2 linked regions of the Kluyveromyces lactis genome follow. The protein of the gene in region 1 purifies or fractionates together with the protein of each later gene. This does not show direct contact. Links are inferred from orthologs where the notes say so. Each region holds a gene or a part of one and is shown on either strand. Other genes may lie near its edges. The genes, in order: CPA2 and CPA1.

Region 1 (13,743 bases):
AACCATCGCGGCATAAATTTCCATAATACGGCTTTCGTAGGCCTTTCCCTTATCATCTAATTCATCCCAAGTCTTTTCTCTTTGAGTTTCTACTAAATGAGCAACAACATCAGCTGGAACAATACCAAGATCTCTAGCTCTTTCCAATCTTTGTCTTCTCAATGCCTGGGGACCACCATTATACTTACCTTTGTATTTTGCGATAGTCTCAGCAGGAGCCTGTAATGGCCAATGTGGAGCTGTGTAGGTCAACTGGCCAAAGAATGGGCGACCTTTTCTTTCTTCATCATCCTTCAAATATTCCAAAAATTTATCTGTGAAGTAAGTGGTGGAATAAAAGTTTTCTGGAAACTTGTTATGGTCTACCCTTTCGCCATTTTCCTGATAAATCCATGGGAGAAGAAACTTGCTATCCAAATTGCATTTGAAATGGTTTCCTGCACCAGGCAGCAAGGTAAAACGTTTTTGGAATCCACGGTCACTTGGCCAATATGGCTTTTCTAATCCAAGGTGCCATTTCCCCGAAATCAGCGTGTAATATTCTGGGGATAATATTTCAGGCAATGCAGCAACCTTATAGTTCAAATAACCTTCATAACCAGGTTTATCCTTGAACTTTTCTGGAAATTGCCTGGCATATTCAGCCATTTGGCCCAAACCTGCCAAATGGTTGTCAGTACCGCTCAACAACATCGATCTAGTTGGCGAACATGCCGATGCAGTATGAAAACCAGTGAATCTGAAACCACCTTTAGACAATTTATCAAGGTTTGGCGTTTGTATTTCACCTCCAAAACTCGACACATCTGTAAACCCTAAATCATCGGCGACAATAATTAAGAAATTCGGCTTTTTAGGTTCATCTGTTTTGGTCATTGCAATTCGATTGTACTTTTCTCTAATGCAGTTTGCGGATTTTCGGATAGATCATAGAGTAACAATTGGTTAGTATACCTTCACAATTCCTAAAAGACCATGATGACAGGTGAGATGATCCATATTTATATTGTAAATTATGTCATTTAAAGCTTTACTCGAAGTGATAAAAAGGGTGACAGTAAAAAAGTTTCAAGGTAAGAACTTTCTGTAAACTCTCATGATCGGGTGGAGCGAACAGTAACCGGTTAATTTAGTAATACCTTACACTTCCAGAGAAAAGCCCGGTACTTTCCAGTTTGCCCAGAATTTAGCAGTCAAACGGAGTCTTTTTGAGTCTTTTCTTCCAAAATCTTACAAACATTATGATCTAGCAAGAAAAACATCACAATTTCATGTCCTCTTTCTTGAGCGGATGGGCTTGCTGTATCTATTTTGGTTATGACAACCTGCAAAATTAGGAGAAGTCACGTGCTATTAAGTTTGGTAGCGCCCAACAGTTCAGCATCAAGTGCATGTATTCCGTATCCACAGATAAGTAACCAAATGCCTGTTAATGTTCACCTACGGCTTGACAGGTAATATGTGTTTAATTTTAGATGTGAGATGTCCCCACAAATGCGTTGGCATGTTGCATCACCTGCATTAGCTTCTTACTTGGCCACCCATTATGTTACCCGGTCACTTTTCATGGAGGCCCTCAAATAGCTGAGGTATTGAATGTCTGAAACTGGGAAACAGCGCCTAAAGTAAATACGAAAAGTTACCCGCTCTTTTGAACAACCTCAAGACTTTCGCAATAAAATACCAGAAGAGGCAGTGGGTCTGCAATAAATGGAGATCTTCAAAATTTTCCGATAAGCTCACCAGAACTCAGCGCAATGGTTTTGTCGCTTACTGAAAGGGCACGAACAGTTTTCAAAAAATAAAAAAAAATGATATGAGCTTCCTCTGTTACTTCCACTGGAAAGTCACGTGACAAATACCGACTATTTACCTTCAGAATCATAGTTAATATAGTTGACAACCGGTTCGAGTAGCCAATTCCAGAATTTCTCTACCTAGTTCCTCTGTTCATTGTCGTTATGTCTGATACAGGTTATGCATGTACAAATTATTATACGACAGATGGAGTCACTTGCAAACCTAATACGTTGACGTTGATGGTCTCCTCCGGAACTTCGGAATCTGCATTGAACGTTACGTAAAAAATTGGAAAATAGTCTAAAAAAGAATATGCCAACTGCAGGAGTATATCATATATATATTTGGGGAGGATCCATACGCAGTTGAATAGCATTGGATTCTGGGAGGTGTCTTTAAAGGTTTGTTAACATTTCGATATCTCATGTGTGAGTGAAGTAAACTTCTTTTAGATATGTCATCCGATTCAATGGGTGTAAAGGGAATTGATGGGCAATTAACACAAGCTGCAATGTCAAATATTGAAACTATCGAGTTGAAAGGTATTAATGAACAAAGGACGAGGAAGAACGTTATCGGATCAGAAGTAGGTATAAATATAAATGAACTACAGCCCGTCCAAAGTTTTGATAATGATGACGGAGGTTCAGATGCCTATACAGATTACGATGACGATGGTTTTACGTATGCTGAGGGAGGGATCGCAGCTTGGCTAGTTGTTCTTGGCTCATTTTTAGGTATTTTACCTACATGGGGGTTGTATTTTTCAGCAGGTGTCATTCAAACGTACGTTGCACGTCACCAGTTAAAGGATGAGTCAACATCTACAGTATCGTGGATTTTCTCTGTTTCGAGTTGTTTGTTATTAGGGACAAGTGTCTTCAGTGGGATGTATTTTGACAGATATGGTGCTAGAAAACCTTTAGTGATAGGTACAGTAATGACCGTTGGGGGTGTATTGGCAGTAGCACAATGTACTAAAGTGTGGCAGTTTATTCTTGCATTGAGTGTTTGCGTTGGCACAGGATCAGGTATTACGTCTAGTCCGTTATTGGGATGTATCTGTCACCATTTTCAGAAGCGAAGAGCTATTGCCACTGCAGTTGCCATTAACGGTGGGAGTATTGGTGGTGTTATTTTCCCATTATTCTTAGAAAAATCGTTTAAAAATTTGGGGTTCGCCTGGACTATGAGAATTATGGCTTTAATTTGTGGAGTATGTTTGACTGTTTCGATGTTTTTAATCAAGGAAGACCCCGAGAAACGTGCGGCTGTCGAACCGAAAGATGCTAGCACTCCTTTCCACAAGAATTTACTTTACAACATAAGAGATTCCTTTGATTACAAGTCTATAGTATCCGATCAAAAGTATCTGTTTTGTGTTTTAGCTTCGTGTTTGGCTGAGGTATCTACTGGTGCCGTTTTAACCTATATCACATCTTACTGTACAACGGTAGGGTATTCTGAGAATACTTCATTTTTACTTGTCACCATTTTGAACACCTTAAGTATTGTCGGGGGATACATGTTTAGTTTTTTGGCTGATAAAGTGATGGGCAGATTTAACGTCATGATCATGATCAATTTCTTGTTAGGATTTGTCCCGCTAATATTTTGGTTACCTTTCGGAAACATAGGTCCTTCGGTAATGTACGGATTTTCCGCAGTCTATGGTTTGTTTTATGGGTCATTGATTAATCTCGCTCCAGTCTGCTGCGGTCAAATTTCAAGGACAAACGAGTTTGGAAGAAGGTATGCAACAATGTATTGTTTCGTTGGTCTTTCATTTCTAGTTGCAATTCCAGTCTCAGGTGTTATCATCGGTGATGGTTCCTTAAAGAATTATAACAACTTTATCATCTATGTTTCTGTATTGTCCATGATTTCTAGTGGTTTATATACGATGAGCAAATGTTACGCGGTTAAACAAAAGCTTAATAGATCACCTAGAAATGCGCACAATAATACAATTCTATCTTCTGTATTTGCTTTTGTTACAAAGAAATTCTGAACTTTTACATCTGGCTTATATCTAATTTGCATCTTTCCTTATGTTACCAATTTTTATTCCTTTTGAGCTATTGTTTCCTCTGCCAATTAGTCAAATGTCAACCGATAACAACAGTTCTTCATGAGTCATTGGGATATAACACTGAACGTATTGAGTCAGTACTAGTTTTTACTGTGATTATAAATTTTGTATATATACATATTACGCAATGTCATTAAAATCGTTACATGGATTTGTGGAGGAAGCACCGCTCACCCATTATATTGAAAGAAGAGGAAAATAGTCAACTCTGTGATACGGCCCTCACTTTCTCTGTCTTTTAATACCGTGAAGCTCATTAGGAGGATCTGAATTGGAATTGGAATATGTTGTATTTGTCACCATCTTCGAATCTGAACGTTCTGATCTATCTCTTTTAAGGTTGTCATCTGTTATTTCCTTGATAGGTGGTAGAGCCGGCAGTTTTTCAGGTTGTAGGCTTCTGGTATACATTTCAGAGTTGATGATTTGCTGAGTATCATCAGTTTCCCAGTCGCTATTATCGGGTTCCTCCAGGTACCAGCCATATGGATCGTTTTCATCCATGTTGCACTGCCAACTAGGTTTTCAGAAGTGTCTTGGTATTGCCTCAAATCACACTTTCTGATTAAACCTAATCAGCGAAGGTAGCAGTAATTTGCTATATTAGAACACTGTTGTAGGGAAGCATGAACGTATCACAGCTCAATAACTACACTTTTAGGGACTTAATCAACGTCTCAGGTATTTAATATGATAGATACAATTCTACTTCGTTAGCATCTTTCAAGGCACTTTTCTTTTTTTTTTACATCAAAGGTGAACTCTGGGGTTTTTTCAACTATATTGTATGGCTCTTTATGGATCTCTAACTACAACCTTAGAGACAACGACTACAGTATCGTTGAAAAATCGAATAACATTTATCAAGTTTATCATCTATGTATTATTAAGAAATATGTTCGTATATACAAACTTTTTGGTGTAATACCAATTAAGAGAATTATTATTAATTTATTTTGATTTTGAGATTAATTTGAAGGATAATTAAATTGGTTTGCAGTGTAAGTACTCACTCCAGGTACGGACTTCATGAGGAACAATAACATCCTTAGATTCCAAAACCTTCACCTTTTCTGCAATCTTCAGACTCATAGCTTTCGCAAATAGCATAGCAGTTTGTGGCTCATTGAATAATGGAAGGGCAAAGTCAATAGCATTTCTTCTCATGATATAATCTACATCTTCTAGGCTCTCTGCTCTCTTGGCGGCAAGATTGAATACAGCACTGATATCCTTGGCTTGGAAGAGTTCACGCAACTTTCTCTTGTCATTTTTTGGGAATTCGATTAGTTCGACTGAAACGCCCTTGCTGAACGTCTCCAAATATTTCTTGGTATCCTCATTGGTAGCATATAACTTGTAACCCAATGGTGCAACATATTTCACCACTTCACCTAGATAGTTCTTAGATAGGTCACCCCCGAAGAGAATACCACTTGGTGGGAGAGGAACATTGAAATTCATTGTACTTTGAATAGCAGTCCAGTAACTCTCTAACGCATTGCTACCGAAGGACGCAACCTCACCGGTGGATGCCATCTCGACACCTAAAAATGGATCAGCTCCGGCTAGTCTGGTGAAAGAAAATTGTGGAACCTTGGTTGCAACATAGTCATATGCTTTGTCCATTAGATTTACAGGTTCGGGAACATCCTTGCTCAAAAATGCTTGAACAGCTGCTTCTATGAAGTTAACACCTAAAACTTTTGAGACAAATGGGAAGGATCTGGAAGCTCTGATATTACATTCAATGACCTTCAAGGAAACACCTTCATCTCTATCATCTTTGATAATTTGCATGTTGAAAGGACCTGTAATATTCCATGCCTTTGCAACTTTGTCAGCAATCTCTTTCAATCTATCTTTGATATTTTGAGACAGATTTTGTGGAGGTAGGACTAACGTTGCATCACCAGAGTGAATACCAGCGTTTTCTACGTGTTCAGAAATAGCATGAACTAATACCATACCATTATGTGCTACAGCGTCCACATCAATTTCTTGAGCACCTTCGATGAACTTAGACATAACAACTGGATGATCTGGAGAGACGTCCGAAGCTGTGGTAAGTTTTACTTCAAGTTCGTGCTCACCAGTAACAACACTCATAGCAGCACCAGACAACACGTACGATGGACGAATTAAAACCGGGTATCCCACTTGATTAGCGAATACTTTAGCTTCTTCAACAGAAGACAACTCACTCCATTCTGGTTGATTGACGCCGATAGAATCCAGAATAGTTGAGAACTTGTGTCTGTTTTCAGCCTTGTCAATGTCTTCAGGAGAGGTACCCAATATGTGAGCACCATTGTGAAGAAGTTTCAAAGCGATGTTCTGTGGAAGTTGACCACCAACGGAGATGACACAACCTTCAGAATTCTCCAACTCGTAAATATCCATGACACGCTCGAAAGAGAGTTCTTCGAAATACAATCTGTCAACTTCATCAAAATCTGTGGAAACCGTTTCAGGATTGTAATTTATCATAATAGTTTTCTTCCCTTCTTTTCTGAGGGCCTTTGTGGTGTTAACAGCACACCAATCGAATTCCACACTTGAACCTATTCTGTAGACACCTGAGCCGAGCACTAGAACACCATTATCAGTGAATTCGATATCACTCTTAGTAGCATTGTAAGTAGTGTATAAATAGTTTGTTTGAGCAGGGAATTCTGCGGCTAGGGTGTCAATTCGTTTGACAAACGGAACGATTCCAAAGGATTTTCTGTAACTTCTAACTTCTAATTCTGAGGTTCTTGAGTCACTACCCTTGTTCAAACATAGTGCGATTTGAGCATCAGAGAAACCTAGTTTCTTCGCTTCAAGTAGCAGTTCTTTGTCCAAAGATTCCAGGTCATTAACCTGTTCCAAATCTTTATACATGTCGACTATGTTCATACACTTGAATAGGAACCATGAGTCAATTTTGGTTAATTCATGGACCTTTTCCACCGAATATCCTTCATGGATCAAAGCTTGTCCGACAGCCAACCATCTTCTATCGGTAGGTTCACTCAAAGCATTGTCCAAATCATCAAATTCATCAGACCCTTGGAATCCAATGAATGAAGGGTCGATTTGTCTGATGGCCTTTTGGAAAGCTTCTTCAAAATTTCTACCGATTGCCATAACTTCACCGACAGATTTCATAGATGAACCGACGGATCTGTTCACGTGCTGGAACTTCGATAAATCCCAACGTGGGATCTTAGCGACAATGTAATCCAAAGATGGTTCGAAATTTGCAACTGTTGTCTTGGTGATTGGGTTAGGAAGTTCAGGTAAAGTGTATCCTAATGCAATCTTGGCGGCAGTATAAGCCAATGGATAACCGGTAGCTTTTGAGGCCAAAGCGGATGAACGAGACAAACGTGCATTCACTTCAATGACTCTATAATCTAAACTGTCTGGACTTAAAGCATATTGTACGTTACATTCACCGATGACACCCAAGTGTCTAATAATCTTGATTGCTGCGCTTCTCAACATATGGAACTCCTCATCGGATAGAGTTTGAGAAGGTGCAAAAACGATAGAATCACCTGTATGGATACCTAGTGGATCAAAATTTTCCATGTTACACACAGTAATACAATTTCCGACACGATCTCTAACCACTTCGTATTCCACTTCTTTCCAGCCCTTCAAAGATTTCTCGACAAGAATTTGAGGTGCCAAAGAAAGAGATTGAGAAGCTAATTGTTTCATTTCTTGAGCGTTATTAGCAAAACCAGATCCTAAACCACCAAGAGCGTAAGCAGATCTAACAATTACTGGGAATCCAACAATGTCAGCAGCTTCCAAAGCAGCATCAACGGTTTCACAGGCAATGGACTCAGCAGTTGGAATGTCGATCTCTTTTAGAGCTTGAGCGAAAAGGTCTCTATCCTCTGATGTTTCTAGAGTCTTAATTGGGGTACCCAAGACCTTAATGTTGTATTTAGCTAGTACGCCAGCTTTGTCCAAAGCGACACCACAGTTCAACCCTGTTTGACCACCGAATGTTAGCAAAATTGCATCTGGTCTTTCGCGTTCGATGATATAGGTAATATACTCCGGAGTGACAGGCAAATAATAAATCTCGTCTGCAAGAGAATGAGAGGTCTGATTGGTGGCAATGTTAGGGTTCACCAAAATTGTCTTTTTGTTAGCTTCTTTCAAAGCTTTGATAGCTTGAGAACCAGAATAATCGAACTCACCGGCCTGACCGATCGAAAGACCACCAGAACCGATAACAAGCACTGATTCCACACCTTCCACTAACTGTGGATTATATTCATCAGTGTTGAATGCCGATGTCGTGGGTTCGGTAGATGAATAGATACTAGTAGACATAGCGAGTAAAATGGTTGGGCTTCCTTGTAGTTGCTTCTTATACTCTACTATCGTTTTTTTCTTTTGGCAACGACTGATATCTTTTTTGATAAGAGCTATGCTGAAGTTTAAATTCCAATTTTGATATCAGTGTATTGCTCTTTATATATATATATTGCCCAAGCTAGTTGTTCCTTCTTATTTGCGATGAGTCAATAGGAAGATGTGATAAAGGTTCATCGAAACTAAATACTCAAATAGTGACGCTGAAAAAAATTGCCAAATCGATGAAAAAACAATAGAAAAAAACTAAAAAAAAAAAGTGCTATGATTCATTGTAAGAAACACTGTGCAGCTTTCTTTTCTTTTTCCCATCATATCATCATTGATTTGGTGATGTAATAATTGTGCTTGTGTTGAAAGCTAGAGAGAGTTCTTTCACTTCTTAAATTAAAATTTGGAAAGAGCTGTATATGCTAATTAAAGCTATATATCAAGATCTTCCAGAAATCCAAGAAATAAAGGACGAGTCAATACCGTTACGTGAAACTTTCTCGAATGCAAAAACAAACATCGGGCTATTGACACATAAGAAGAGACTCATCCTTGAATCATAAGACGCACTACGTTTTGGTATAGGTACCATTTACGTTTGTCTTCAGTAACACCGTAGTAAGAATGCTGTTTTCAAACTGGGGATAGTTTCGATTGTTCTTGCACTTAGAGGATGTAAAACCTCGAACTGGATTAGAACCTAAGTTTTCTGATCGTTTAGTGCAACACTCAGCGATGTGAAAGGAAAAGAAAAATCAAAGGAAAAAAAAAAACCAAAACCAAAAAACTGGCCAGTTACCCGGAATACCCGGGTAATACTTACTGTCTTCTAAAAATTTGTCATTCCGTGTATTTACTGACGCGTGTCAGAATAAATAACCAGCCACACAAAGAGTGTATGCCCTGGCATGTGTTAAGATCCATCTATACGAAAGTATACGAGATAGAGAAGTACAAATAGAAGAGAAAAATCAATCTTATGCCAACTCGTAGGATGATTAGGCATTATATAATGGAAAGATGATGGTGGAGGGAGCGAGCGATACTCACCATACAACAGTGTATAATGAATAGTCAATTGATGTCAGATACAGATAATATGAGCGAAGGAATATCATCATGTCAGGGTAACACTGAACAGAGAGATTCCGGGACTCAATAGCATGGTCAGGTGATGCAAATAATACTCTTAATGCTTGTATTATATTGCCAACTCCGATAAAAGTTTAACTGACAAGTATTGTTAGTAGGGAAGTGCGGCTGCTCGAATCGTTCTACCCACCAAGACTTCAGTCCGGGCTCCAGACGTGGGGTAGAAATGTGGATTAAACAGTATACGGTCTGCAAATGGCCGCCCAACTTGAGCTGCAACCGACTAGGGACCGCCTGAAGATGAACATATACGATAAAAGACAAAAACAACCAACCTCGATCACGTGATAATCTTAGACATCACTGGCATGTAAGAGGTAACCCTTTCGGCTCCGAATTGGTTCTTTTGAAGCTGACAACCACTGAAAATTTTCCCTGGTAACTCGAGAGACACATTGAAAATAATAAAAAACTGAAAAAAAAAAAAATCACCATAAGTATGCCATTGACCCGGAGATTTGGCTTCGATTCAGAACATTTTGGTAATGTTCCGTTCTTATTGGTCTCTTCGCTCCGTCTGATTTTTCAGCTTGCCAACTAGTTAGTCCGGACTCCGATTTGCCGGCTACTTAACCGCTATCCAACATTTCTCCTACTAGCCACTCTTCGGTTTATCTCTGCTTTCCCCCTTCTTTGAATTCATGCGAAACACAAAAAAAAAAGACATCATTCATTTTTCCCTTTCGCCCCTTTGCCTGATTGCTAGGTTCCTATCTACCTAGTACCACCAAAAAAAAAAAAGGCAGACTCAAAGGCCTTATGATTCTTTTAGAGAAAGTATCTCTATTGTAAAACATCCCATGCAGTTTGCATGGGAATATTCATAGAGTAAAAACCCATTAGTTTGATCCATATCGCCTAGAAAGCTCAACAGGAGGAGTAAGTAGCAGTTAAAGATCATTGGTGGATTCCGAGTTGATCATTGAACTTAACGGAGCATTTCTCATTTCTCACTGTATATACAGTTTTACGTACTTCCCATTCACTGTCCACTTATTTTGGTTGTTGAGTAGGGTTTTTTTTTGTTTTTTGGGTTCCCTTGCAGTCAATTCTCAGAGTTCTACAGTCCGAGCCTCTGCCCGTTAAATCAGTACTAGATGTGGGCCTAGTTTTTAGTCACTCTCTAATGGGATTTAATTTCGGTCTTTTTACGGGTTTTACTTATAACATAGATTTACAATTCTTTAAACTTTTGAATTTTAGGAATAAGATATATAAATGTGGGGTTTTAATTGAGTTTGATACTTGGGATTTCAACTAACTTATATCTGAATTCGTTTCTGAATTTTTTGCATATTTATCTCGTTTCCCCTTAAAGGTGAATCACAGATAAAGATAGCTTTAAAAAGTCGTCATATTTGTTTGTTTGAGGTATTAAATACTGCCAAAAGACAACTAGAAGAGAATAATAACGTGTATATTTATATTCGCACAGTCGGTTTACAGATCTTTTCGTCTTTTTATTTTGAATTATATCACATCATTCTACAGAAATGGCTTCGAAACAAAAATCTTCAAACCCAGCTGTCAATTTGATTGCTGGCGGTGGTGCGGGTCTAATGGAAGGTCTATGTTGCCATCCATTGGATACCATCAAGGTTAGAATGCAGATCTACAAAAATGCTGTTGGTTCCGGTGTAAAAGCACCAGGTTTCATCAAGACTGGTGGTGAAATCTATAGAAATGAAGGTTTCTTGGCATTTTACAAAGGTTTAGGTGCTGTCGTCATCGGTATCACACCAAAGATGGCTATTAGATTCTCATCTTATGAGTTCTATAGAACTTTGCTTGCTGATAAGGAAACTGGTAAAGTTTCTACTGGTAACACTTTCATTGCTGGTGTCGGTGCAGGTATCACCGAGGCTGTCGTCGTTGTCAATCCGATGGAAGTCGTGAAGATTAGATTACAAGCACAACATCTAAACCCTGTCGAAGGTGCTCCAAAATACAAGAACGCCGTGCAAGCTTGTTACACCATCGTAAAAGAGGAAGGTTTCAGCGCTTTGTACCGTGGTGTTTCATTGACTGCTGCTAGACAAGCCACCAACCAAGGTGCTAATTTCACCGTTTACTCTAAATTAAAAGAATTCTTGCAAGGTTATCATAATCAAGAAATGTTGCCAAGTTGGGAAACCTCATTGATTGGGTTAATCTCAGGTGCCATTGGTCCCTTCTCAAATGCACCGTTAGATACCATCAAGACGAGATTGCAAAAGGATAAATCTACTAAGAATATGTCCGGTCTCAAAAGAATTACCATCATTGGTAAACAATTGATCCAAGAAGAAGGTTTCCGTGCCCTATATAAAGGTATCACCCCAAGAGTGATGCGTGTGGCTCCAGGTCAAGCTGTCACTTTCACTGCTTATGAATTCATTCGTAAAGAATTGGAGAAGACCGGTGTATTTTGAATCGATCTAATTTATGGTTCTCACCATCATTTCTTTTCCTTCAATCATGCTCCTACTACCATTTCTCCCTCTCTCATTCAAGACTTCTCAATCATAATTATAGATTTTGATTATTGCATTAGAATTTTGATATATTCATAAAGGTGTTTTCCACAAACTAAGAGAATGGTTAAAGAGACAAAACTTCTTGAAGTATTTCAAGAAGAACTAAAAATATTCCCACGCATCATTACGTTTCTTCTGTTAAACCAATGAACAATTCACCCAATAAAATTCAGATTAATTATGAGACGCAGTTGAAAGATAACACAAAATGTTATGAGATGCTATAGTGTTTCCAATATTAGAATTCGCCAAAAGATCAACACACACACACACACTCTCTCTCTCTCTCTCTCTCTCTCTCTCTCTCTCTCTCTCTATCTCCACCAAAGTAACTCAACATTCATTCAAATTTTTCACAATTTGTATCAATATTATTATTATCATTATTACTACTTTTGTCTCTACCCTTCGTTAGAAACTGAATGTTTTAACTATAACATAGTAAGACATTTCTTGGTTTCTTATAGCATCTACTTAGGCTAAAGTATCGAATAAACTAAATAATTTCTAAAAAAAAAACTAATATCAACTTCAATTTAAATATACAAATGAAAATCCCCTTTATCATAGCGTCAGATTGAAATTTGCAGTTTTTATATGTGAACATGTCGCAAAGTAGTGATAATCTCCAGTATAACTCGTTCTGTGAAAATCTTATTCATAACTTCTTGCTCAATCAAGTTCATTTCTTCCATGGGATCCAAATCGAACAACGTTTTAGCATCGTTCTCATCCTGTGAGGTTCCATCCACATGTTGTTGCAAGTTTAATATTATAGGATCCGGTTCAGAAAAATCATTGTTACCTTCGGAATTCCGTTCTAACAATGATTTTACCAAGTCTGTTTTGGATCGGAAAAACTCTGAAATTAAGGAAATGTCAGATTGTATACTTTGAGTATCTTCAACACTCTGCAGTAAATTCGAGCTCACTTCATCGGTTTGATTATCTAACCATCTGGTCATATCATCACCCTTGGTGACATCATTTGTAACTTGAAAATCCGTATGGTACACCATCCCCATTAGCTGAGGAAAACCTAGAGTGCTAGGTTCTTCTTTGTCGTGGAATTCTATCTCTGAGGAATGTTGTGTCATTATTGTTGCACTGCTGTTTCACTGCTGTTTCACCGTATTTCTTACCTGTTGTTTCTTAATCAGTCAGTACCAACCTTTTCGAAGTAAATTATGGTCAAAAGAAATAATTAGTTCATTGTTAACTATATGGCTCTTTCGTTTGAACCAATGGTATTTAAATGAAAAGTTCTATTACTCTGATAAAGTTCGGGAACTGTCATTACGTTTCTTAAACAAGACTACTAAATCGACATTTGTAAAAATACTTGAAACTGTAAAGCCCTTACTGCGGAAACTCTTGTTACAACTTAGAATTATTTGAAACCACTACCTGATCGTCAGTACCTACATTTTGTATAGTAGTTTACAGGGTTTCGGTACTATTTCAAAATTTTCCATCAAAAATTAAGAAATCTTGACCCTTTTTTATTCTCTTGACACAATTTTTTTTAAGTAGGTTTATATCAAATTACGAAGGAAAAGAGCGTTAGAGGGCATTGTGCCTTAGGTTCTTGAAATGCAGCTATCACCATGAATATATATTACGCATATTTGTTTGTAGGACGACTAGTTCTATTATAGCGCCATTAATAGTGTGTTTTCGGGACTAATTGCAAAATTAATTAGTTGCCTGTGCCTTTTCTAAAGTTCCACCAACATAGTGTATTCGTGGCATTTACTGTGCCAGTGACCATTTCAAAAACTGTCCTGCTGATTTTCCTACTGACAGGGCATT
Region 2 (12,544 bases), about 2.0 Mb from region 1:
CATTACTGAAAAGTGATCTCTCATTTATGTATTATAAGACTGTGTAAACTCCATACAGTGAATTCTATCCTACATGTCTGTATATTAATGTCACATATTTTTGATTTCTGTCCAATAAATTAGTATACACCGTTGAAATACCTTCTTAGTAGCAAGTTAGCCACTAAGGTCCTAGAGCTGTACCGAATCATTATTGCCTTTCAAGTGCATTGAGAAATAACCAAAATGTGTTTTTGATTGTATCACTTTCCAGTGTCGATCTCTGGTAGCGTGTGAACCAATCATGGCAGCATTGGGCAAGAATTCGAAAATATCCGGTAACGTTCGTGCTGGAATTGTATATCCATACACCTTTCAGCATGTACCAAAAGGAAACAGTACTGCCAGAAAAACCTGCTGGTCGTTTCTCACCTGTCACTAGTGCTATTAAGGTGGCTTAATTTTTTCTAGTCGAATGCAATACTTAAGATCCGACAACGCACACATACATTTGATAACCTTTTAAATGCATCAGCTATTTCCCAAACTGGATCCAAACAGTGCCCTCTTTACTGTAGATAGAACAGAAAGTATATATTAGTAAGTTGCTTACCAAGCAGTCTTCACCAATAAGAGTTGATCGAAATCAGTCTATTTGTAAGCCACCGTCGAGTTCATATTGAACATCTATGGTCAAAAAGTATTATAAGAAAATATATTTGGTCGTATTCAATAAGAAAGTAGTTCGAATGTCTGAGATCTCCCCCACTTTGTGAACATTTCTTGGAATGATAAGCAAATACTGTAGGCCATTTTACTTCATCAAACAAAATCCACTGATTAGTGAAAGCAGTTCTGCGACTCTCATACAGGTATGTCGAATTCAACAAACACAGAAAAAGACCTAATACCTCTGGTTGCTCCGCTCAACACTTTAAATTACATCCATCAAGATCAGAAGCTTATTGATAAGCAGATGACAACCACTCAAGCTTATCAATTGATGACAAGCAACGTACCTTTGTGGTTGGATACGGCATTCAAAACAAGAGATTTTCTTAGTAAGTGGTTGGGTGGGATACAGTCGATTAAGGGTTTTGAGGGTTCTGCGAAGCCGCTAAAAGTAGGCGATAAAGCAGATTTCTTCGACGTTGTCAAAGTGTCGGATGATGAACTATTTTTGAAGTCTACTGACAAGCATTTAAGTGTATTGGTAGCATTGCAAATCAAGAACCACGATGACCTGAGAAATGAATTCAGAATAGCCACCAGTGTGGTTACCTACAATTTTTTTGGCAGGGTGTACATGCTGCCTGTGTCTATGGCACATGGCTTTATTGTTAGGTCCATGTTGGATAAACTCGAGCCCATTTGAAACTTATGCCAACATATGGTAAAAAATATGGTGGATCTGTGGTGTTTGGGCTTGCAGTCATATAACAATTAACATACATAATATCATCACTATTACATCTTTAAATCTCGGTCACCTATACCACCTCAGAAAATACAGCTCTAGAGTTGTCAGCTGATAAATGCTAGCTAGGAATTTTGTATAATACATCGTAATTTACAGGTAAATTTCTGCGATGCCTGTCAATACTTTTCAACAAAGGCAATGCAAGATAAATCGGTATGGTCTTGAAACCTGATATTCCTGCAATAGGAACGCATCTGATTCTGCCCTACATGATTTTCCGGTTACCCTAGTTAAATACCAATGGGGCTCATCATGAAATATTTCCATATCACGTGCAAAATAATGGCATTGATTTGACATTTCTAAAAACAGAAATAGCAGGAAACCAACCCACAGAGTTTATACTTAATGATAACTGAAGCCCTCTTCTGTTGTGAGATATTCAATAATTAATAAACAGTGGCATTTGAAATTTAGACAGAAGATACCAATAGTAAGCAATTGGTATCTGACGAGGAAAACAATTATTCAGCGTTCTTTCACCTATCCTCGGATATTCTGCTATTTATTACACCAAATCAGGCTGCTAAGTTCACTTCCGGGGTCTAAGTCCTTATTATTATATTTACCTCCATCGCTAGGGAAATCATAATGAAGATTAGTCCGTTGTACAGCTTGTTTTTAACGGTAGTATCCGTCCTTGCGATTGATTTGGACACTAGTTCCAAGTCGTCGATATGTACAGCAACTGCTTTGATTCAACAAGGTATTAGTGATTACTATGAAGGTGACGTATATGGTGGGACTGTCGGTATGTTTGTATCGCCATACTATTGGTGGGAAGCCGGACTTGTCTTCGGAGGTATGATTGAAAATTGGTATCTATGTCAAAATACATCGTATGAAGATATGCTTTACGATGCTTTGATGGCACAAACTGGGTCCGATTATGATTACATGCCAAGTAATCAAACTATGGTGGAAGGTAATGATGATCAAGGTGTTTGGGCTTTGACAGTAATGACTGCCGTGGAAAGAAATTTCACAAATCCGAAGGAAGACGGCACACCTGGCTGGTTGGCCATGGTACAAGCTGTTTTCAATCAAATGTACTCACGTTGGGATTCAGACCATTGTAACGGTGGCTTAAGATGGCAAATCTTTACCTGGAACTCGGGATACAATTATAAGAACACAATTTCCAATGGTTGTCTCTTCCAATTGGCAGCACGACTCGGAAGATATACGGGTAACACTACTTATTTGGAGGTAGCAGAAAAGGTCTTCGATTGGCTTGTCGATATTGATTTCGTAGTAATGAAGGAAGAGGCCAATGTTTTCGATGGTGCGACTATCGACGATAACTGTACTTCCATTGTGAAATACGAATGGAGCTATAACCATGGTGTTGTTCTTGGCGGATGCGCGTATATGTACAATGCAACAAATGGGTCTGATGTCTGGCAGACACGTACCGAACAAATTTTAGGTGGGGCCACTTCATTCTTTTTCGAAGATGACATAATGTATGAAAGTACATGCCAAGCTTCAAACAAATGTAATACAGATCAGCGTGTCTTTAAAGCAATTTTCTCAAGAATGTTAGGTTATACTTCAGTTTTGGCTCCGTTCACAACGGATACAATAACCCCTCTCATAGACACTAGTGCAGCAGCAGCAGCCAAATCATGTAGCGGTGGTACTGATGGCCATACCTGTGGATTAAATTGGTTTACTGGTGATTGGGATGGGCAGTATGGTCTTGGTGAACAGGCGTGCGCTTTGGAAATCATTAACCAATTGCTTGTTCACGATCTACCAGCGCCATTAACTGAAAGCACTGGTGGGTCTTCCAGTGGTGATGCTAGTGCCGGTCTAAACGTCAGTACCACAAATGTCTTACAGAAGAACATCAACATCACAGCAGGAGACAAAGCCGGTGCAGGTATTATTACTACAATTGTGCTTGGTGTTCTTGTATTGGGGACAGTATGGATGGTCTTATAATTGTAACATATTAATAAAGTGAGTTTTAGCATGCAAGTTCGATGTGACAGAATACTGAGCTACGTATTTATTACGTCAGCTTCATCATCCATGTATACTTTCTTTCACGAAGAAATCATGAAGCTTGTTCAGCATTTGTTAAATAGTAATGCATAAAATTTCCCCAGGTTTACGAAGTTAAACCGTGTAATCTACTACTGATGTTATATGTAAGTCAATCAACGATTCTATGTCCATTACTTATCGATTTTATAATGAAGTTTCGAAAGTCACGTATAAGGCCCTTCTAATGATGAAAGATGGAAGCCAGTAAATAATTATGGATATTTTTAAGTTGTTTTAGTAAGAAAGTTGCCCATATAATTCTCGAGTATCGAATACTTGGAATTGATTTCCCATCCTTTCCAAACTATTAGACCCATTGTTGATGCAAATTACATGCTGGTTTTTCCTAATCGAGAAAAATTCTTGATCTGGCCTTACAAAAAAAAAAAAGCATGAAACTGAAACTCAACTCATTCTAAAATACAGAGATGAGAAAGACATATTGACAACTCACCAATTCCTACTCAATTGCTAACGGTCAGTTTGTGTAGCTAACGGTCGTCGAAATACTTCAATTAACAGGCAAGTGGCACCTTACACGTTATCTGAGAAATATAATTTATCTCTTTCAACCAGTCCGTAGTTGTTGTTGTCACAGTATATTCAAAGAAACTGCTCCTATTGAAATACCGGACATCTTAACAGCACTTTGAAGCCATTCCAGTGTTAGCAAACCGCTGAGCAATAGTCATGGAAAAATTGCCAAATTCCCAGCGAGCCCGCTTACCCACTCTATATGAAGTATTAAACCAACAAACCGCTGCGCCTTTGGATTTATGGTCCTTCTATACTTACCTGTCCCAATACCCCCATGCCATAGTGTATCTCGATTTTTGGACTGATGTGATGGCATATCTGCGATTGTGCAAAGATTATGTGAAGGGTATACGAGAGTCTGTTCTTGATGTTAACAAGCTTGAAACTCCTACTGTTTTGCAAGAAGGTAATGGAGATGACAAGAGAGAATCAGTATCATCGGCAATGCTTCTAGAGGCACTAATGAATGATGGTTACTTGGATTATAATGACTCACAGCGTGTGAGTCAGTTTTTGAAAGGTGAAACGGACTCTCCTCGTTTATCTCAGCTATTGCAGGACTGGAAACAAGTGAACAACGATCAAATTGATTTCAGCGATTTCGTAGATGGGTTAGTCAAGAGTAATGTTACGAAGGATCATAAACCAAAGCTCACCACAAAGCAGCTAATATCAAGTGCACAAGATATTGTATCCACCTACTTACTCTCTCAAGAACAAAGTGATAGATTTTTATTTGAAATTCCAGCATATTTAAGAAACGATACGATAAGGCTTATTATGGAAGAGAAGAGACATGACCCTGAAGTGTTCGAACCAATTAAAGAAATTGTTTATCAATTCTTAGAAGTGGACTGTTTCCCAAGATTCTTAGGATGCGTTGCATTGCACAATTTACATGATGAGATTGTATTGCAAAGACCTAAGAAAAATAAATCATACAACTCTCGTTCAAACTCTCCCTTCAGCCAATGGTCTACTGCCTCCAGACTTACTATTGGACTCGCATGGTGGCTGGTAGGGCTTTGGATTGGTTATACACTAATATTTATGAACTACTCGAAGGGAATAAGGGTGGTATGCATTGTTCCATTTTTTTTGGGATCTTACTACATAATATGTGGTATCTACTTAGTAGATATCATCTACGCATTCAGTGGAGTTACTCAAACACTAGTTTCAAAACGTAAACTTGATGACCTGGAACTAAGATCGATGAATAATCATCGTTCAAATTCACTTCACTCTTCGAACGAGGTGCCCTGGTGGTTAACTATTTTTGGAGGCAGATCTAGATTATGCAAAGTAAAACATCCGTTTGTGAACTCAATAATGATAAGACGAGCCCTCTGGTGCCTACTATTGGTCTTGATTATGACGGCAATACTGACAGCAATCTTTGCTGCCGTGCCTGGACGTAGAATATGAAACCACAAATTCGAACAATAAAATTCAATTTTTAATGACTTTAATCCTTTAAGTAATAGCTACAGTATATCTAATATCAATAATAACGTAATGATGATAACTAATCCTATTTATGTTGTTTCTCTCTGCCTCTACGAACTTAACGGAAGTGTGTATGATAATCTAAACAAGTCACGTGCATTTGGTTGAACAACAGAAACACCAAATTCTCAGTTACCCTCCACCAAACCCCAAACCCATATATTACATACAAACATGGGAGGACTCGCTAATTTTTTTTTTTTTCACAGGGAAATCGTTTCTTTTCTATTTAGTCACCGAGATGCAAATTCGAGATGACATTCAAATTGCATCACTATCTCAAGAAATGCGATGAGAATTAAATAAAGCTTTTCTTTTATGATAAAATATAAGAGCCATAGTGATATAAATACAAGAACCATAGCAAGTTTTTTTATCTCTTTTCTGACAGTTCAGTGCAATTCCAGAGAACATTATAAACTTCTTCCACAAACCGTACTCAGCTGTTGCAAACGAAACCCACATAGACTGGACTGAAAACTTGATAGTCAAGACTTTACGATTGCTAAAAATTTTGATCATCAATCGAAATCTGCTATCATATTATTAGAGAATTTTGAATTTATATCTCTTCTCAACTAACAATTCCCATTCTTCGTTAAAGAAATTTTATTGCTCTGATTGTTTGAGCCAGAGCTTAAATCTCAAAAAACCTTTATCCCACTCTTTTTTAAGTTGTATGTTTAGACTCTGCTTCTCTTCATACACTTGCCAAGACTACATTCAAGACCATATCTGGAAAAATAACAATGCCTAATTTCAAAAGTACTGCTCCTAAAGCTAAATTTGCCATTTATAATAATTCAAATCCAGATTCGGAATCTGGGTTTGTCGAGTTCCAAGGCTATTCCTTCGGTGCTCCTGTCTCATGCAGTGGTGAAGCCGTTTTCACCACTTCTTTAGTTGGCTATCCGGAGTCGATGACAGATCCATCCTATAAGGGTCAAATCCTCGTCTTTACGCAACCATTAATCGGTAACTACGGTGTGCCTAGTGGAGAAGAACGTGATGACTTTAACCTATTGAAGTACTTGGAATCTCCTCACATTCACGTCCGCGGTATTGTTGTTGCTGAGTATGCTTGGAGATACTCTCACTGGACTGCTGTTGAAAGCTTGGCAACATGGTGCCAAAGGGAAAACGTCACCGCCATTGGTGGCATTGATACTCGTGCCGTTGTTCAAATTTTGAGAGAACAAGGGTCATCACCTTCTACAATTACTGTGCAAGGTTCTTTTATCCCTAAGCCAATCAAACCAGAAACTGACTTGGTTAAGATTGTCTCGACAAAGAAACCATTCTTTGTGAAAGCATTGTCCTCAGTGAAAACTCCATTCAACGTTGCTTTGATTGATTGTGGTGTCAAGGAAAACATTATTAGATGTTTAGTGGAAAGAGGTGCTAACGTTACTGTTTTCCCATATGACTACCCAATCACATCAGTAGCAAACCAGTTCGACGGTATCTTCATTTCTAATGGTCCAGGTGATCCTGTTCAATGTATGGAATCTACTGTTCCAGAATTGAAGAAATTGTTAGAGACCAATACCTTGCAAGATTTGCCAATCTTCGGTATTTGTCTAGGTCATCAATTGTTAGCTTTGGCATCTGGTGGTAAAACAATTAAACTAGGTTATGGTAATAGAGCTCACAATATCCCAGCATTGGACTTGACCACTGGTCAATGTCACATTACTTCACAAAATCATGGATATGCTGTTGATGTTGACACTCTTCCAGAATCTGGGTTCAAACCTTTCTTCCAAAACTTGAACGATAAGTCCAATGAAGGTATGATTCATGTCTCAAGGCCAATCTTCTCGACTCAATTCCATCCGGAAGCTAAGGGAGGCCCGAGAGATTCTGCTGTACTTTTCGACAGATACTTCGATAACATGTCCCAGTATAGAGCCTTGAAGGGTCCAAAAGTCAAGCTAACCTTAAATACTTCATCATTGGCGACTGAGAGAGTATTCTAATTTATTCAACTTTTCACTTTCTTAAATCACACTTTCTATCTTAGCGGTCAAGCGCTACTCTCTATACTTTTTGATAACTACTCTTTTACATGATACATAATAACTCACCTCTTGGGATAACTCTCAGTCTTTATTTATCCAAGTTCGCGCAATCCTCACGACGTTACGAGATATTATGGGTTATTATGCACTTATTGAGTATTGATCGTGTTCCTCGAAAATGTTACCCGGACAACTTTATCTTGCAACTTACAATATGATTAATGCGAAGTATATATAGTAAATGAATGAGGAACGTGTATGGGGCACATCACAGTGCTGGGTTAGAAAGTAGCTTCAGTTCATCAGGTATCTTATAAACAACGTTAAATTTTGGAAGAACATCCTAAGTATCCACTATATCAGACCGTTGGGAGGACGTCAATAAAGGCAACTATATTATGACCGATGTGAGAGATTGTATGGGAAGAACTCTTTCGTATCACTTGTCCATGTGGCCAGCTGCTAATGATTCACAGTTGAAAAGGATCAACCTCATGGATCAAGATTGGGAGAGCGGATATACTGCGTTTCATTTGTGTATGCTAAGCTTCCAATTAGAGAAATGTTACAAGTTGTACGCAAGAAGCCTACAGGATCCGCATGATGCTGGTAAATCCTGGCAAATAACTGATAAATCTGGTATGTCACCTTTACTGCTATTGCAATCGATGGTTATGAATAAGGCAGGGTATAAGAGGAAACTACTCAATAAGGATGTCAAGAGTGGAAAATCCTACTCCAGATGTTTCAATTTTGGTTCCAATGTCAACATGCAGTTAGGTACCGGTGATAATAATGATAGATTAACCTCATGGTATGAAATTGATTCTTGGAAGATGTGTGATAATGATCTAAGATTTAAATCATGCTGTATGACCAAATACTACTCTCTGTTATTGATGGTAGACAAGGATGGAACAAATTCAGCATACATCACTGGCCGTTCTACGAAATTAAATTTGTTTGGAAAAAGAGATCTCTTCAGGTATGTAAAATTCTCTGACAAGAAATTACAAGATATCAAGTGCTCCAATCATCATATAATTGCCAAAACAACCAATGGAAATATACTTTTATGGGGGTCCAATAAATATGGTCAATTGGGTTTAAACCCTAAAACCACCGAGTTTTCAGATCAACCCAATTCAATAGAGCTTGGACTCGGAAAAGATGATCTAATCGCATGTTCGAATATACACACATGCGTGCTATCAAAATCTGGTTCAATCAAATCTTGGGGATTAGACGTTGGTCAATTTGGATCTACTAGTAAATTCAAAAAAGAGACCCCTTATCTCGATCAAAAAGGACAAATTTCGCCACAACCAGTTACCTCGTTTTTACCAGCTGATATAAACGAGCCGACTGTTCTTGTCTGTACAGACCTCGTTACTTTTATTTTATGCGGTGGAAATCGACTATTTGCGCTTACGAATTATAGAATATTGACAGTTAAAACGACACCTTCACTGCACGATTCTTTCGACAAGTTTTTCAGTCGAAAATTTCATGATCATCAAATAGTTGATATCAAATGCAAAGACTCACATGGTAAAAACCTGATGTTACTCTATGATGACGGTACCGTTGCTTGTATTCCGGATTTCAAAAAGTCACCTATACCACAATGTTTCTGGAGGCCGAAGTACTCCTGGGATAAGTGTATATCTTTCGATATAGGCAGTGCTGGGCAGCTTATTGTTTTAACTGCGAAAAGTGATATTTACTCAAGTCCTTTGTTAGGTCGTAAGTTCACCAAGTTACAAGATAGTATGGCAGGTGCCTCATCTTGTCAGGTATCTTGCGATCCATTGTTTGCTTCATTCAATGTTTTAACAGCCGAACATACTGCAATGATTACTGAACCTGATTTTAAACAACAATCTAATCTTAAGTTAAATGACAATTATGACCTTGATGTGATATTTAATGGGAAAAGGTTGACATCTTGCCATAGGGCAATACTTGCAGCCGCCCAGGAAAAGCTTTACTTGGAACTAATAACTAATGGAAAAATTGTTTGGAGGAACAAATTAGAAGCTATTGATATGAATCTAAGTACAGAAAATGGTTATGTGTGGACGCTCGAGATCTTCGGACCTGAGGACTTCGGCATTTATTTCAAAAGCTGCATTTCTTGTTATTATTCAGTCTCCGACGAAAATATGCAAGCTCTCAATTGTGCAACTCTTCAGAACTTTATTGATGTCTATTACTTACCGAGTTTTTTTACACAACCAAGTACTTTAGAAAGAAACATCAAAATTTCAATACAACCTGATTTTCCAGTCTCACCGAATGTCACCCTTCTTTTAGAGGACGGTAAGAGTGTTCTGGCCTACTCATTTATTTTACAGGCCCATTCTATGTATTTCAGAAGACTTTTCTCTCAAACCTGGTCAGCTAATTTCAGCGATCATAAAGTGGACTGGACAGATCTCTCTTATGATATCTGCAGAAGCATTCTTGATTGCATCTATAATATATCCTGTCAAAAGAAATCTACTCAGGTACTTGATAAAATTGCATTCAATATGGGACATCAAAGGTATCACGATAGGTTATTGCACATGCTTGAAATATCAGATAAATTTATGCTTTTGACGTTAGTCCAACATATAGAAAGCCAGTTGATATCATCAGTTAATTCAAACAATGTTATTGCTTTCTGGATTGCAGCTAGCGACCTTAATTTACCGGATTTAGCCGCCAACTGTCAGGAGTATATCTTCAGGAATCCTTCTGTCTTATTTAGCTCTGACACCGTAGAGCATATCATGCAAAACATCACATCAGAAATGTGGAAATCCATTGAGCAAAAATTTAGAACAGAATTAGGCATGTGCTCACAGGAAAGTTGGTATTATGGACCGAAAGCGTCAGATTACATTCGTCAACTGGAAAAGAATATTGTCGCTTTCAATTCTCATTTCATCTCGGAGGAAAATCCATTGGAGATTTTGGTAGACTCAGTTATTTATAAAAAGCATAGACAAAAGAGTGGTTTAGATGTAAGGAAACCCAGCATCAGTAAAACTACACGAAGCTCATCCATCAATGAGAATCTGGTAAATATTAGAAAACCAAGCGCTGTAGCCCAGAATTCGATTGCTTGGAATAAGTCATATAACATGACAGATTCCGCAATTGATGATGACGATGATCAGTCTACTTTTGTTGAGGTTTCTAAGAAGAAGAAACGAAGACCATCCAGCATAACAAGAGCTGCTTCGATAGATGACAAAGCGGCGCATGAAATTCATACCAACATGGACGGGAACAGGTTACTGGTTCGCAAAAATAGTTCAGAACATTCATTCCCTGCTCTTGGTGAAACGACTAACAAGTCAAATAGTACCGTCAAGATAAAAATAAAGAAGGAAACTCAAAAAGAGAAAATTAAACGGATGGCTGAGGAAGCCAAATTCCAGGAGAAGCCAAATGAAGACAAGACTAAAGTTTGGGGCCAACATATGAGGAAGTCCCCGTTAACAAACAAACAATCAACAAAAGTGACTGTATCTTCGGAGGTAAAAAATCTTTCAGGTGTAAAGCCAGCTTCGACCAAATTTCCAACGTTGCATGAAGCTGTGAAAAACGGGAAAAAGCCAACAGGTATGGTCGCAATTTCGGGTGACGGTACGAAGCAAACTATGCCATTATATGCCTCTACCAAGAGTAACTTATCCTGGGTCGCTAAGGAAACGACACCCACACCAACAAAATCTATTCAGGAAGCTTTGGAGGAAGCAAAATTTTTGAAGTGGTGGAATGAAGAATCACAAAGGATACAAGCCCAACAAGCGGCGTCGGAGATGCTAATGGGAATGGAGACCGGAATCCCATCTTCGAAGCCTGGTTCCCTTAAAAAATCTTCTTCGATACAATCTAATGGTAAACGCAAAAGTAAATCAGCGGATAAATCTATGCGTGGAAATAACACATCCAAAATATCGACAAATCAACCTGAAAAGCATGATCAGACATCCAATACGAGTAACAATCGAAGAAGAAGTTGCACAAATCCAAATAGACAATCCTAAATACATGTTATAGAGCATACCAAATCTCGCTAAGTGGTATAATTCAGAGCAACAATCGGTACTAAAAAAGGCAGCTGAACCACTTAATCAGTATGCGCTTGATATCGTTCTTGATCACATATGTGATCTTACAAGTTATGTATATCTATATCAACTTAATCGTGTAAATATTAAATGGTCATGTTCTACTTATTCTGCGCTTTGTACTAATGGTAGATGCAAGGCTAATCACATTCTGCCACGCTTTGTTCTTTAAAGTCAATGAGACTACTCTGAGGTATGTCCGTTCTGAGATCATGTATTATCATCATTTTCCACGCGGTTTGTTGTCCTAGCGATTTGAAAAAATGTAAATTTCCAAAAAATAATGAGTTGTGACTATCCACACTCCACTAAGAAACCTATGGATATCGAATTCTCTGTTGCCATCCTATCATCATCGATCAACATTGCCTACAATGGTTGAGGAAGAGGTATGCTAAATGTCTTTATGTTCAACTGTACTTCAATGGTTACTGATAATATCTGTCATGAACTTCGGTGCTTCTCCCCGTTGAGTTTATCAACGTATTAGGATGACAGTAATCACTAGAAGCACATAACAACTTCACACTTGGGCGGACCTCTGCATAAGATACTAACCACCTTTATCTAAAAATACTCATAGAAATCTGCTACAAAAATGGAGAATCCTGTTAGCAATAATCAACATGATGAGAAGTACTGGTCCGAAAGAAGATCTAAGTTCTTACTTGATGTTGATCCGAAAATAGCTAAACAAAGGAATAAAGAAGACACTTATATTCGCTTCAAGCACCTTTTGCAAATTACTGATCTTTTCAGACACTTTATTGGGATCAGAGCCAAATATGATAAAAACATGCAAAAATTACTGAAGACCATAGATGCTGAAAACAAAGTTG

What was found.
Region 2: the proteins of CPA2 (region 1) and CPA1 purify together in Saccharomyces cerevisiae (affinity purification with mass spectrometry, with the first as the bait; 3 studies listed by BioGRID). This does not show direct contact. The link is inferred for Kluyveromyces lactis from reciprocal best matches to the Saccharomyces cerevisiae genes CPA2 and CPA1.

Annotation. Positions count from the first base shown.
Region 1 is NC_006042.1:292,007-305,749, forward strand, and holds CPA2 (carbamoyl-phosphate synthase (glutamine-hydrolyzing) CPA2), read right to left. Parts: upstream 8,231-13,743; coding exon 4,877-8,230; downstream 1-4,876. Other genes in the region: KLLA0_F03146g (arylsulfatase), read right to left, coding at 1-876; KLLA0_F03168g (uncharacterized protein), read left to right, coding at 2,255-3,811; KLLA0_F03179g (DUF5137 domain-containing protein), read right to left, coding at 4,115-4,396; SFC1 (Sfc1p), read left to right, coding at 10,909-11,826; KLLA0_F03234g (uncharacterized protein), read right to left, coding at 12,525-13,028. UniProt on the Saccharomyces cerevisiae protein: Large subunit of the arginine-specific carbamoyl phosphate synthase (CPSase).
Region 2 is NC_006042.1:2,312,790-2,325,333, reverse strand, and holds CPA1 (carbamoyl-phosphate synthase (glutamine-hydrolyzing) CPA1), read left to right. Parts: upstream 1-6,306; coding exon 6,307-7,536; downstream 7,537-12,544. Other genes in the region: KLLA0_F24948g (DUF2867 domain-containing protein), read left to right, coding at 854-1,354; DFG5 (putative mannan endo-1,6-alpha-mannosidase), read left to right, coding at 2,051-3,406; RAX1 (Rax1p), read left to right, coding at 4,202-5,476; KLLA0_F24860g (uncharacterized protein), read left to right, coding at 7,977-11,621; ISW2 (DNA translocase), read left to right, coding at 12,304-12,544. UniProt on the Saccharomyces cerevisiae protein: Small subunit of the arginine-specific carbamoyl phosphate synthase (CPSase).